2 linked regions of the Tamandua tetradactyla genome follow. The protein of the gene in region 2 interacts with the protein of the main gene of each other region in a biochemical or structural test. Links are inferred from orthologs where the notes say so. Each region holds a gene or a part of one and is shown on either strand. Other genes may lie near its edges.

Region 1 (6,865 bases), on a different chromosome or scaffold from region 2:
AACCGTGAGCTTTTCCATTGTTTAAGCCACCCATTGCATGTATTTGCTTTGGCAGCCAGGAAACTGAAACAATCAGTGATATGATTGTCTACTAGGAAAATATGAATGAATAAACTGAAAAAAAAATCTATTAAGAAAATTCAGTGAGATAGTCACCTAAACATTTAACAAAAAGATCAATAGTTTTCTTGTATAGCAACAATAACCACTTAGAAAATACAAATGAAGAAATAATATATCCCAGCAGTAAAAATTTGTGTAAAATACCTGGTAAAAATATATTAATATGTTTAATGCAATTTCCACAAAAATTCCAGGATTTTTTGAACTGGGAAAATTTTCTAATGTTATCTAGAAGTTATCTAAATATTCAAGTATAGCAAGAAGATTCTCAGAAAATAAAACTACCAAGGAGAGACTTGCCCCATGAAATATTAAAGTTTATTATAAACTGCAATAAAAATGGAGTGGTTTTCGTTCCAGGATGGTTAGATTGATCAGTGAAAAAGATCAGAAATAGATCCAAGTGATATAAGAACTTCACATGTAGCATACATGTTGGGGAATCAGGGAGACATGTATGGACTGTTCAATAAATTGCATTGTTGCAGATAACCTTATGAAAAGATAAATTCTTACCACACATTTATACCAGAATCGATCTCAAATGGAAAAAGGTTTAAATGAAATAGCCACTCAGGTTGTTAGAAATTCTTAGCAAAATATAAATAGAAGTAATTTAAAAGCTGCTAAAAGCAGGTAATATTAGTTATTTTGGGCTAGGAGGGCCTTTAGAAGCTTAGCACCAAAGCCAAAACTGTGAATATAATTTAATAGACCAACTATTTAAAAATTATAGCAAAGCAAGGAAATAAGCAGCCTCCCCCATCCCCCTCAAAGAAATGGTCAACTAGGAAAAAAGTAGTTGGAACTTATATAACCGACAAAGGAGTGTTTTCCTTATAAAGCAAAGAGCTCAAATAAATCCAGGAGGAAAATACAAGACAAACCCTTTTGCCCAGTTTAAAAGAAAAATGGGCTAAGGAGGCAAAAAGCTTAGTCACATTAGAAGAGTAGTCATGAGAAAAAATATTCAACCGTTCAGTAATCAAAGAACTGCAAACAGAAGGTACCATTTTTGATTTTTGGATTAGCACATATTAAAAACAATGCATTCAGTATCATTGAGTGGGTAGGAAACAAAAAAACAGGCATATACCATTGCTGAGAGTATAAACTGATAAGTCTTTGTTAGGTAATAAGGGTCTATGTATGCAAATCGCACCCAGGAATTCTACCTCTAAGATTTTACCTTAAAGATAAATGAACAAGATGTTTGCTCAACATTATAGTGTTGCTTATAATAGTATAAACTTCAATACAATCTTAGTGTTATCAATAAGGAATTAGGTTGAATAAAAGTTTGAAAGTCCATGCAATCGAATTTTAGACAGCAATTAAAAATAAGCATGTGGATCTACATTTGGTTGTGTGAAAGATGTCCACAATATGTTCATGCCAAAACAGTAGCATTCAAAGAAAAAGCTCTTGACAATATACACCAAAATTTTAATAGTGGTTATTTTTGGGGTACTTAGATTGTGGGTAATATCTTTTTACTTGTTTATACATGTCTGTATCTTTTTACTTATTAAAAAACAATATACGCCAAAATTTTAATAATGGTGATTTTTGGGGTACTTAGGTTGTGGGTAATATCTTTTTACTTGTTTATACATGTCTGTATCTTTTTACTTATTAAAAATAACAGCTGTGGAGAAGAAGACAGGGAGAGGAATAAGAAGAAAAGGAAGAACAGAGAAAGAGGAAGAGGAGTCATCTTCTGGGAGGTTTTCTTTTGCTTGGATTTCTTTTTTTTTCCTCTGAGGATACATTGTAAAAATTTCCCTTCCTTTCCATTTTCTGCTTTTCTCTTAATTTAATTGGAGAGGTTCCAAATCCATGTATATTCAAACCAAAATTTTGTAATTTAAGAAAAAAATATAATAAATCAATTCAATAGTGAAATTTTGCCGAAGGAGAAAATGCAGTCAGATGGGATTACCAGTCACACAGAACACTTGAAGAACTCAGGGCAAGCCAGAGTGTGTATAACCTTGAATTGTGTGCTGTTGTACTTCAACAACACCTTTCCTAAAGAGGTTAAGAAGGACATGGAGTCTCTTTATTACCGTAGGTCGTACTTATTTTTGCCCTTTTCAGTATTGTTTTCATTCAATTGAGCTTTCATGTTAGGCATTCAACACAAACTGGAGACCTTCATTTTTCATTCATTCAGCAAATATTTGTTGAAATCTATACTTATGCCAAGCACTGTTCTGGATATTTTGGACACATCAGTTACCTTGCTTTTCTGGAACTTGCTTTCTAGCCCTCTAAGAAACAGCCATACAAAGCCTGTTAAATACCACTGAATATACTTATTCAGTAGCCCATGCAAAAGTTTTTATAAAACCTGAGAACTAGAAATATGGTTTTCCCCAGGGAATTCGTATATACTTTAATCATGAGCAAACAAACGGAAGTTTGATTCTCATCTTTTCTATGGACACCAAGAAACTTAGTCTATTTTACAGCCCACCTTGAATAATGGTGTAAGACTTTATGTCCATACAATTCAATACTAACTTTCTCCCCTTTCTGAGCCCCTAGATTTCTATTTCATCTGTATTTTCATTGGCCTTGTTTTTCAAACGTTGTATTCTTTTGTTTCATTGTATTCTAATATATTTGTAAACAGCTTCCAATCTTAATTTTCTTGTGGGGCTGGAGGAACAAGGAATTTTGGGGGCTACTTAGATTGTGGGTAATATCTTTTTATTTGTTTATACATGTCTGTATCTTTTTACTTATTTATACATGTCTGCATTGTTTGTGTTATTTGCAATGATCTTTATACCCATGATGAAATAATCAGACAAATCCATGACGTGAGCATACTTCAAGACAACTGAACTGGTCTTTTTTGAAAAGTTAATATTAAAAGAAAAAAAATGGATGGGATGGTTTCACTTTAAGAAACGAGAAAAACAAACAAACAAACAAACAAACAAACAAACAAAACCCTCCACAACAACTAAATGCATTGAGTGATTCTGGTAAAAAAAAAAAAAAAAAACAAAGTATAAAAGCTATTTAATTTAAAGACAACTGAGGAAGTTTGATTACAGTCTGGGTATTAGATAATATTTGGAAATGATTAATTTTCTCAGGAGTTGTTAATAGTATGATAATGAAGGAGCCTGTCAGTTTTAGAGATGCATGCTGAGGTATTTAGGAGTGAGGTGTCTCGTCTGCAATTTAAGAATGATTTAAAAAACTTACGTTTACACATATCTAAATAAAGCAATATTAACAGCTTTTTGAATTGTTGCATCTGGGCATTTGGTACTATTGTTGAATCAGGGTGGTTACTATACTAATCTTTCAAATTTTCTCTATGGTAATTTTCATAATAAAAACTTGGAAAAGTTACATATTAATGATTATTTACCTAATTTTCTGTATTACTCTATAAGTGTTTGAGTGAAACGATCTTATAAAGGAAGTGGGAAAGCAGCAACTCAGGAGGGATCTGGTGATCAATTTTAAATTCCAGAGAAATACAGAATAACTGTTTAAAATTATAAAAACATACGGTAATCTAGAAGATCAGTTTTTGAGAATGGCTTCACTGGGAGTGGAAGCTGTGGTACAGAGGACTAAGAAATAAGTGCAGCGAGGGTAGACCATTACTAAAATAAATCTGGGGTAGGTATGTTATTTTTGCCGCTGTTACTATGACATCATTGGAGACCTAGAATTACTCCCGCTCCAGAGCATTCTGAATTCTCGCGATGTTAGACCTTGCAGGAGCGCGAAACGCGATAGGAGGGGCTAGATCAGAGCGACGGACTTCCGGCCAGGCCGTCGTCTGAGCGGTGCGGCCGAGTCATCGCTGGGCTTTGCCTCATCGTTCTCCCATCCCTACCCCCCGCCCTGCGCGGGGGGTCGACCAGCCAAGAGAGGCGGGAGGCCCCTTGGACCTTCCCCTACACTTCCCTCCAGCCAACGCCCCGGCTCCCCGCGCTGGGGTCCGTGGGGCCCGCGAGGCTCGGTCTGAGGGGCCGAGGCCTACGTGGGCCCACCGCCGGGCCCCATGAGGCATAGCCTGACCAAGCTACTGGCGGCCTCGGGCAGAGACTCTCCGACCCGCAGCGAGAGTCCAGCGCCAGGCTCGGCCTGTTCGCTGCCCCCAGACGTGATCCGGACGGTGGCGGCGGCGGCTGCGGAGGAGACGGCGGCGGCCGGATCTCCCGGCCGCAAACAGCCGCGCGGCGACGAGGGCGAGTTGGAGGCCGGGAGGGGGAGCCGCGGCGGCGTGGCCGTGCGCGCGCCCTCTCCTGAGGCAATGGAGGAGGAGGCTATCGCTAGTGTCCCGGGGGAGGAGCCGGAGGACATGGACTTTCTGTCCGGGCTGGAACTGGCGGATCTGCTGGACCCCCGGCAACCGGACTGGCACCTGGAACCCGGGCTCAGCTCGCCCGGTCCGCTCTCCTCGTCCGGCGGCGGCTCGGATAGCGGCGGCCTTTGGAGAGGGGACGACGATGACGAAGCTGCGGCTGCCGAGATGCAGCGCTTTTCAGACCTGCTGCAGAGGCTGTTAAACGGTATCGGGGGCTGCAGCAGCGGCACTGACAGTGGCAGTAGCGAAAAGAGGCGGAGAAAATCCCCGGGAGGAGGCAGTGGCAGCGGCAACGACAACAACCAGGCGGCGACAAAGAGTCCTCGGAAGGCGGCGGCGGCCGCTGCCCGTCTTAATCGGCTGAAGAAGAAGGAGTATGTAATGGGGCTGGAGAGTCGGGTCCGGGGTCTAGCAGCCGAGAACCAGGAGCTGCGGGCCGAGAATCGGGAGCTGGGCAAACGCGTGCAAGCACTGCAGGAGGAGAGTCGCTATCTACGTGCTGTCTTAGCCAACGAGACCGGATTGGCTCGCTTGCTGAGCCGGCTGAGCGGCGTGGGACTGCGGCTGACCACCTCTCTCTTCAGAGACTCGCCTGCCGGTGACCATGACTACGCTCTGCCTGTGGGAAAGCAGCAGCAGGACCTGCTGGAAGAGGACGATTCAGCGGGAGGAGTGTGTCTTCATGTGGACAAGGATAAGGTGTCGGTGGAGTTCTGCTCGGCGTGCGCCCGGAAGGCGTCGTCTTCTCTTAAAATGTAGGGTCAAGTAATCTGCTCTTTATCCACGTTTACCCCTTTCAACTCCCTTACACCATGTAAAACACCTTAGTGGGACATCTTCACTGGACACATGTCAGAGGAGGAAAAAGTAATATTGAATCGTTAATGTTTAGCTAAAAGCATGAATGTGACACTGTAACCAACTCCTAATGATAACATGTGACTATTAAATCTCTCTGACAGTTTCTTTTTTAGGTGATTTCCTTCCTGCCAGGCTCCGTTGTAGGGGTTACAGAACAGTGGTTCCCGCCTCACAACCTGGTAAGGATCCATCTCTTCACGTAACGCTCATGCTCTGCTGCTTAGTCTACTTTAATGGGCAACATCTCAATTGTGTGTGTGTGTTTTTTTTGTTTTGTTTTTTCTTTTTTGGAAAGTGGGAGGGGAAATCGAATTTGGGCCCTGTCCACCCTGGAAACAGACTTGTGCTGGTCAAATAATGTGTTTAAGATGCTTCTTATGGTTGAAATAGCTGCTAATGTGTCCCCTTGTTCAGACTTGCGTGTACCTAGCTCTTCTGTCCCCAGTGTGGACATGGCCTTGGATGACATCGGTTCCAACTGTACACTGAAACCTGCTTATAGAGATACAGTTTGGACACAGTGAAACAGGTGAAGTTGAATGGAAGTTCCGAGTTGTACAAGATGCAAATTGGAATTTCAATTTATAGCAACTTTTGAGAGGTTGGCAATAAGTATTAGGGGCATGAACAATGTGATATTTTGTAGAGATGACAAATCTCTTTATTCAGTTAGTTTTCAGTCTAAGATACAGAGTGCTCAGATTAGCAGATTTTAATATCTCACCATTAGAGAAGTTGAAAATTAATTTGCATATTACATTCTTGTGTTAGTTGATTGGAGGAAGAATAAGAACGTTTAATGAAATGTTTCTTTGAGGACCAGCATAGTGATTACCTTATCACTGAGTATGAATAAATTGTTGAACATCTTTATTTTTGCTGTATTAAAATTTTAGGTTAAATTTATGTATGTATGATTAGATATTGAAGGTTGTGAAATGTGAATGAAAAAGTGTAAAGTGAGGCTTCACAAAGAATCTTATTTTCGTTATTTCAAAGGCATTTGGCCGCTTTAAAAATTTTTTAATTAAATGGATCTGACCACTTAAATGGCATGATTTTTCCAAAAATGGGACATATTCTTTTGAAGTACTCTTATTAAGCTGTTGTCCAGTTGTGTGAATTGATATAGTAGTGTCTTTCAGTGTAAGAAGCATTAAGAAATTCTTTGTGAAACATCACTGTTTTATAAAGTATATACGTATTTAGCATCCTTGTTTTTCTTTGTGCTAAAGTGGATACAGCTGTTGGGGCAGAAGAGACGGGACCAGCTCCTGGCCACATTTCCTGCTTTATTTTAAAAGGTAGTATAAGAAATGAGGAGAAGAGGTAATATCAGGGCTTCTGCTGTCTTTTATTTTTGAAATGTTCATAATTAAAAGTATTTTCCAGCAGTCCAAAGATGTAAGTTATCTTTAAAATGTTTTATTTTGTTGTTACTTGGTTATGGAAATGGAATCCATGTTCTTGCACAACTGTAAATGTTTTGTTGCTAGATATTAAGATTTGAGCTCTAAATTGGTCTCTGGTTTCCAGTGC
Region 2 (6,558 bases):
TGCTCCTCCCAGTCATCCTACAGGACTAGCAGTAGCTTACCATTCAAGGGATACCCCACCCTCGTTCCTGGAAGAACACCCAGCCAACTGCCAAAGTTCTGAGTACACACTTCTACTCATAACTGGCGGCCCAATGCAAGCCACCTGTTTATACCACCAGGCCATATCAAATCACACCAATAGGAAAACACCCCTAGTAACACAAGGTAGGTTAAAAAGCCATCTCCAGGGAAGCTTTAACAATGGATGGTGACATCACTGAATTGCCTGACTGGATAAAGTGGTAGATTTTTGGTTAAGAAAACTTTAGTATCATCCAACCCTAAACCGCTTTAACGGATGGATCTTAGTACAATCTGAAATATCTTACACAAGGTTAAACATTGCTGGGGAAAGAGTATGGTAGGTATATGGGAATTCTGCTTTCTGCATTTTTTGGCAAACCTACAATTGTTCTAATTTTGAAATGTAGTTCCAAGATTTATTCAGAGGCAAAGAAATCAGATACTTTCACTACAAAATAATTTATTACAACACATTCATAGCAAGCCTATGTACAAGCAAACACACTCTGGACTACAAAACCTAGGGGACCCTTTTCTTCCCTCTTGCCTTGCGGACCTCTTCTATCAGATCCTTCAGATACTGGATCTCCTTTGCCAAGGAATCCGCCCTCTCTTTCAGAGCCTCATTCTTCTTTTCCAGCTCTTTACACTCTCCAGTGAGGGCCTCCTGCTCTGCCCTCTTTTTCTGGCGGTACCTAGTGGCTGCTGTCTTGTTCTGCTCCATTTTTTTCAACTTCTTGTCCAATTTCTCTCCCTTTACTTTTGCTGCTACCACTTTCTCCCCAGGAGGGTCATAAGGTTTGGGGCGGGTTGAGCCACAAAGAGTACCTGGAGATGGCAGGCTCCCATTTGGAGAGCCCCTGGAGGTAGAGGGGCTATGCTTGGGAGAGGCCAGATAGGGCTCAGGGCTCATACAAATGCCACTATCGTTATCTGAGGGGGAATCCTCCTCCTTTATGCACTGAGGGATCACTGTAACATAAACAGAGTCCACTTTCCTCTCTCCTTCAGAGATGTCCACCTCACTGCCTAGTTCTAAACTAAAGGAATGATCTGGAGTGGATGACAGGGCCCCAAGAGAATGGGAAAAAGGTTGGAGGAACGTGAAGGGGGCAACATGGTTAGTTTTTGGTAAACTTTCTGAGAGATGGCCAATTGGGTTCTCTGTCTGGGAGGGCTCCTTATCCTGGACTAGGGGGTCAAAGAGATCACAGGTGTCATCCAATGTGGCCAAAAGCTCTTCGGGCATGGTTTCTAGGTCACCTAAACTGAAGAGGGCGTCAAAATCAAACTCCTTCAGATCCATTTTCTCCACCATCCAATCTGTCCCGGAGAAGGCATCCTCTGCAAAAGATGAGAGTAAGAATTGCAAGACAGCCATCCTCTATCACCAGAACCCCTGATAAGTGGACCCACACTGACAGATAAAGGACTTCTACTCACCCTTGCCGATGTCTGGGCCACTGACCAACCCATCCACAGCCAGCCACTCGGAGGAGCCCGTCTTAGCCTTGTCGCCGGAGAACCCATGCGGTTTGAAGTGCTTGGCCACCTCCAGGTAGTCATCTAAGAGACCCAGGCTTTCTTCAGCCCCCAAACCCGACTGGTCGAAGGGGGACATCAAGTGCCCCGCCAACACCTCGCTGCTCAGGAAGCTCCTCTCGGTCATGTTGCCGGGTTTTGCTGAACTCGGGGAATGTGCTTAATTCGTAGGTGTCTTTGTCGGTTACAGCAATGCTGCTGCTGAATGCCGTGAAAAGCCTGGGTAGGAATCCGAAACAAAGCACCATTGGAGACGACCTTGACTGAGAATTTCATCTTTCTATTCGTGAGGAACGGTGGCCAAATTGGAAAATCACTGAGCTGTCCTCTTAGAATGGGGGCCATGGCGTTCCAGGGTCAACCTTTCCCGCTTCCGGTGTTAGGAAACACAAAATGGAGGCCCACGGAGACTCGGCTATTCCCTCACCGGCCACCGAGAGAAGGCGCTCCAGCCGCACGTCCAAATACGGCCAGAGCGGCCGGGGCCCCGCCCCGCTCCCGCCCTGCCCGCCGCCATCTTGGCCCCCGCCACGTTTCGCGGAACACAGGGTGGGACCCTCGACGCGCTGAGGGGGCGGCAAGCCGAAGAGCGTCTGCCCTCGAACCCGTGCGCTGCTGTCGCGACTGAGGGGCGTCTCGGGGACACTAAATAGAGACCACGCGCCTCGGGCGCGCTCGTAAAACCGCTTCCCCCTCCGCGACGCTGCCCTGGCTGTAAGGCCACGTCCAAGTCCCTCCGAACCAGGGACGAGAGGAGCCCGAACAGCCGGGCCCCGTACTTACGCCATGGCTTAAGCCGCTGGGGGTTGCCGCTGCAGAGCCTGGTGCTGCTGCCGCTGCTGCAAAAGCCAATGCTGCCGCAGGCACTGCTGCCTCTAATACGCCATGGCGGCTTCGGACCCTGCGGGAGGGGAGGTGGGGAAGCCCGGGGCACTAGCTGATGTCAACATATATGGACAGAGGCGAAATGGCGGAGGCGCGCGCAGCGTGGGTCCTTTATAGACTTTACCTCGACAGTCACATCACAGAACGCATCCTTCCGCCGCCGTCACGTGACCGTCATTACCAGCCCCTCGTTTTCGCCTGTGTGACACACTTATCGGTTCCAGCCCACGGCCTTGATGTCTGAGGTATAACTAGGATGAGAAAATGAGTTATTTTAAAGACCTCACGAAATGAGAAAAAGCGCACTCCTTTACGAGGCCTCTAAGATCAAAGAGTCCACCCTTCCCCCTCCCCCGCCGCCGGTGAGCGCGGAAGGATCCGCCAACACAGTGTAAATTCGGTAGGAGGGGAGAGAAAAGCCCTTCGTAGGAAGGCCGATGTCACCTGGTTGTCGCGCGAGACGGTAGCTAGGGCGCGCGTCGAGTTGATTGGCCCAGGCATGGTGAGTCATATATATCTCCTACTTCGATTGGCTCAAGTCCTAGGTGGGCGGATTACTCGTTTAGGAGCGTCTGATATGCGCGGGAAGGGGCGGGGCGGCCAGCATGTTTCCCTCCGCTCAGCTGCGCTACCCACTTACTTTTCTCGGAATTCTGGCCAGACCGCGCAGATTTCCTGCCTTGGGCAGCTCGATCCCAGTGCGGTACGAAGTTCCTTCCTGCCGACTTCCGCGAGGCGCCGAAGCGGCAATCGGGTCCATGTCTGAGTCGAGCTTTCTGTCCCCGGATTCCCCCACCCCCTCCGCCCGTCTTGTGCTCCTTCTTCTGTACAGATTAGGCAGAGTTCAAACCTGGAACGGCCCTCGGAAGTTACCCGGCCCGGAAATTACTTCGTTTTACAAAGCGATCCCGTAGCGGGTGCCGACTCAGTCTATCAGGGACACCATTAAATAGCTAATAAAAAATTGCCCCCGAGAAGGCTTGGGAGTCAAGTGTATTAATATAGGAAAAAGTGAACGGCAAACTTATACTAAAAATGCTTTGGGGCACTAACACGAAGTTAGAGAAGTTGAGTAGAACGTGGGCATGCTGAATAATCCACCGACTTCAGTAAAAACAAGAAAACCCAGCTTTTTCTTGCTGTGCAGGTTCTCCTGGCCGGCCAGAGAGCCGCTCCTTGTGAATTCTCTTTAGGCCAACGAGGGAGGGCTTAAGACAAAACTAAGCAAAAAAGGGAAGCCACTTAATGTGTGTATTCACCCCATGAGATCTCTTAAAAGTTGAACGGGGAAACTGGATGGACACTCATTTTGGGTCCTCATCTTGGTAGGTCACCTGATCCATGCCTGCCTCTCTCAAAGGCCACCTCCAGTAAAGTCGAATAAGATGCACAATCCTATAGCCTAACTTGCACTTTTACGTTATCCATTCTGCTAAAGTAAGTTTCCTATTAAGGCATGCAGTTTTTCATAAGGGAACTTTTTTTGGATTTTATAGATTAAATTCTCCTAACAAAGGATTTTATTCGACTGGCATCTTGTAGACTCTTGAATTACTTTCAACTAATTCCCAGGCATAGCCAACTTCCCAACACATCACTAATGGCCCTGTGAAAAGCTCCAGGACCCACATACACTTACTGGTGTTTGGCGTTTCTGGAACCTGCAGTGTGAAACCTCGCTGCAGGGCCCGGGGAGGGGCAGGAGGCAGCAAAAGATTCGTTTCCTCCCCCATCTCAATGAGCCAATCAAGGATCATTGTTTTGAGGGCTGTGATGTTGAGGAACTTGGGAAGTACTGTCCTAGAGAACTACCGATCATTTGTTGACTGCATTCACTCTAGCCCAGTTCTTTCACAATGGCAAACAGGCCTAATGGGATGAGGCGTGTTGCCCAGTCAATAGTTTCCACTAGAGGCAGCATAGGATAGGGACTAGAAGACAGATTTGGGGGGCCAAACCTGAAAGAATCCTGGCCTCACCATTTATTAGCTGGGAGATTTTGGCTAAGTGACTCACTTCTTTGATCCTGCTTCCGCATCTGTAAAATGGGGCTAATGGAGGTATACTTCTAAGGATGAAATGAGATCATATATGGAAAGCACTCAGCAGTGTTTGGTACATGGTAAATGCCCAATAAAAGGTTGCTATTATTACTATTATGACTCAGATTTTCTGACCCGGACTTCCCAATCTCCCCCCCTCCCCCCCACCCATACACACACACACAAAATCTTTTACATCATCCTCCTTCCTGAGGGAACTCTGCTAATCTTTACTGGCAAATGAAGCCAGAAATTATGAAACATCAAATACACACAAGGCATACTGTATGCTGAGATAGAAGTGTGGCATTTTCCTTCCTCCTAGGGAATCACAAGTTTTGGAACATACATAAGTTGTCTAGTGTCCTGGGTACAAAATATTAAATTGTCTTGTGTTCTAGTCTTTTACAAGGTGTCCTGGGGGCCCACGGGGCATGGCCTTTTTGCTACAGCAGTGCTGACAGATGACCATGCAGATAGTTGAGAATTAAGAACAGTATTTAACACTGCCCCAGTTTTGATACTGAAGAGGTAATGGAAGAATGACTCCTGTGGCAGCTTGTCCCTTCCATTTTATTCTGGTAACCAAGATTAAATACTTCAAAGGTTCTCCAAGCTGAAAATGGAGACCCAGTACCATTCCCATAGGAAAATGTCTCATACCACGCACAAAAGTCAAAGTTGTTGGAGATTTTTATTTTCTTCTCCCCACTCTGTGGAAGGACATCATGTTCCCCAGCTTTATTTCCTCCCTCAAGGAGGAAAAAAAATAGCAATTCTCTAGGTCTCTGGGTTAAGATGCTCCTATATTGTCCTAGCCAAGACAGGACAGACTGACGACTGATTCCACATCAACTGCCACTGAAGGACAGCCATGTGACAAGGCAAGTTGTGGATTCAACCTCTGAGACCAAGAATTTAAAGATTACAAGGTGATCAAGATGAAAAGGTAGATAATAACCTGTAGGCTGTTAACCCCAAAACCCACATGTCTGGTATTTTGGTCACTTAGTCACCAGTATCTCAAAGGGCTACAGCCTCACAGCCTGGTGCAGGGTCAGCACTAACCTCAGTGCCTCTTACTCTTCTTCTTGACCTTTAACTTTAGGTAGGAAGGGCAGAACTCTAATCCTCCAAGAGCAGAAGTTCACAGCCAGGGTCAGAGACCCAAGTAATGAATAACTTAGCAGAGGGCTCCTGACACATGCAGTGATCCCTACTTACACAGTCTCTCTTGGAGAGGCCCTGATCCTGAATCTGATTCCTCGAAAAATTTTGAGCTCTTACCTTGAGTGGAATACAAAGGAGCAAAATCATCTCATTTAGACTGGCAGGGGCAAGTCCAAGACACTGTAGGCCTCTTCAGTGCAACTTTTCCAAACATGAGCTTTAACTTTTTTTTTTTTAAGTCACAACCGATCATATAAAGAAGAATACTGCTGTCTGAATTCTTATTTTAGGAAGGGGTGACAGAAAAGCAAAGCAAAAAAAAAAAAAACCAAACCTTTAGAGATTATTAGGGTTTTCAGGATAATGGGTGTATTATTTTTTAACCATTAGGCTGAGTATATGGTTTGCTAACCTAAATGGTGCAAAAAAACCCAATCTTCTCCAAACAGAGTAGGAACAGATACTATAACTTCAGGAAAAGGTGGGAGTTATGGAATAAAAAGGCAGGGTGGAGGGGAAATCCACTGCATCTGCATTCTAATTCTACAAATTAGAATGTTATCCCCTTCCATTCAAAAAATCTCAAATCACTTAATTATTTTCCACATTTTATGATAAATATGGCAGCCAAGAGAGTGGCTTGCCTAGTCAGAGGCAGCAAACTCTCTAGGACCTACGCTGAGAATTCCCACTGCTGGTTCCAATTCTGAGGACTTCTAAGAGGTTCTTACTGGTATTATGGCAAAATGATGGTTTTTGGTTTTGTGACATAGTTAAGAGATGCTCTTAGAAGTTCTTTAACAGAGGCAGTAAACTCATTTCCCCTGTGTATTTGGCTTTGATTTGGTCGTGAT

The links.
Region 1: the proteins of ATF4 (region 2) and CREBZF form a complex in vitro, tested with the Homo sapiens proteins (2 studies listed by IntAct, with this or other methods). The link is inferred for Tamandua tetradactyla from reciprocal best matches to the Homo sapiens genes ATF4 and CREBZF.

What each region holds. Positions count from the first base shown.
Region 1 is NC_135334.1:58,791,281-58,798,145, forward strand, and holds the start of CREBZF (CREB/ATF bZIP transcription factor), read left to right. Parts: upstream 1-3,861; 5' UTR 3,862-4,159; coding exon 4,160-5,220; exon of another isoform or gene 5,221-5,427; coding exon 5,428-5,443; 3' UTR 5,444-6,865.
Region 2 is NC_135333.1:32,072,202-32,078,759, reverse strand, and holds ATF4 (cyclic AMP-dependent transcription factor ATF-4), read right to left. Parts: upstream 2,597-6,558; 5' UTR 2,391-2,596; intron 1,827-2,390; 5' UTR 1,735-1,826; coding exon 1,509-1,734; intron 1,410-1,508; coding exon 586-1,409; 3' UTR 509-585; downstream 1-508. UniProt on the Homo sapiens protein: Transcription factor that binds the cAMP response element (CRE) (consensus: 5'-GTGACGT[AC][AG]-3') and displays two biological functions, as regulator of metabolic and redox processes under normal cellular conditions, and as master transcription factor during integrated stress response (ISR).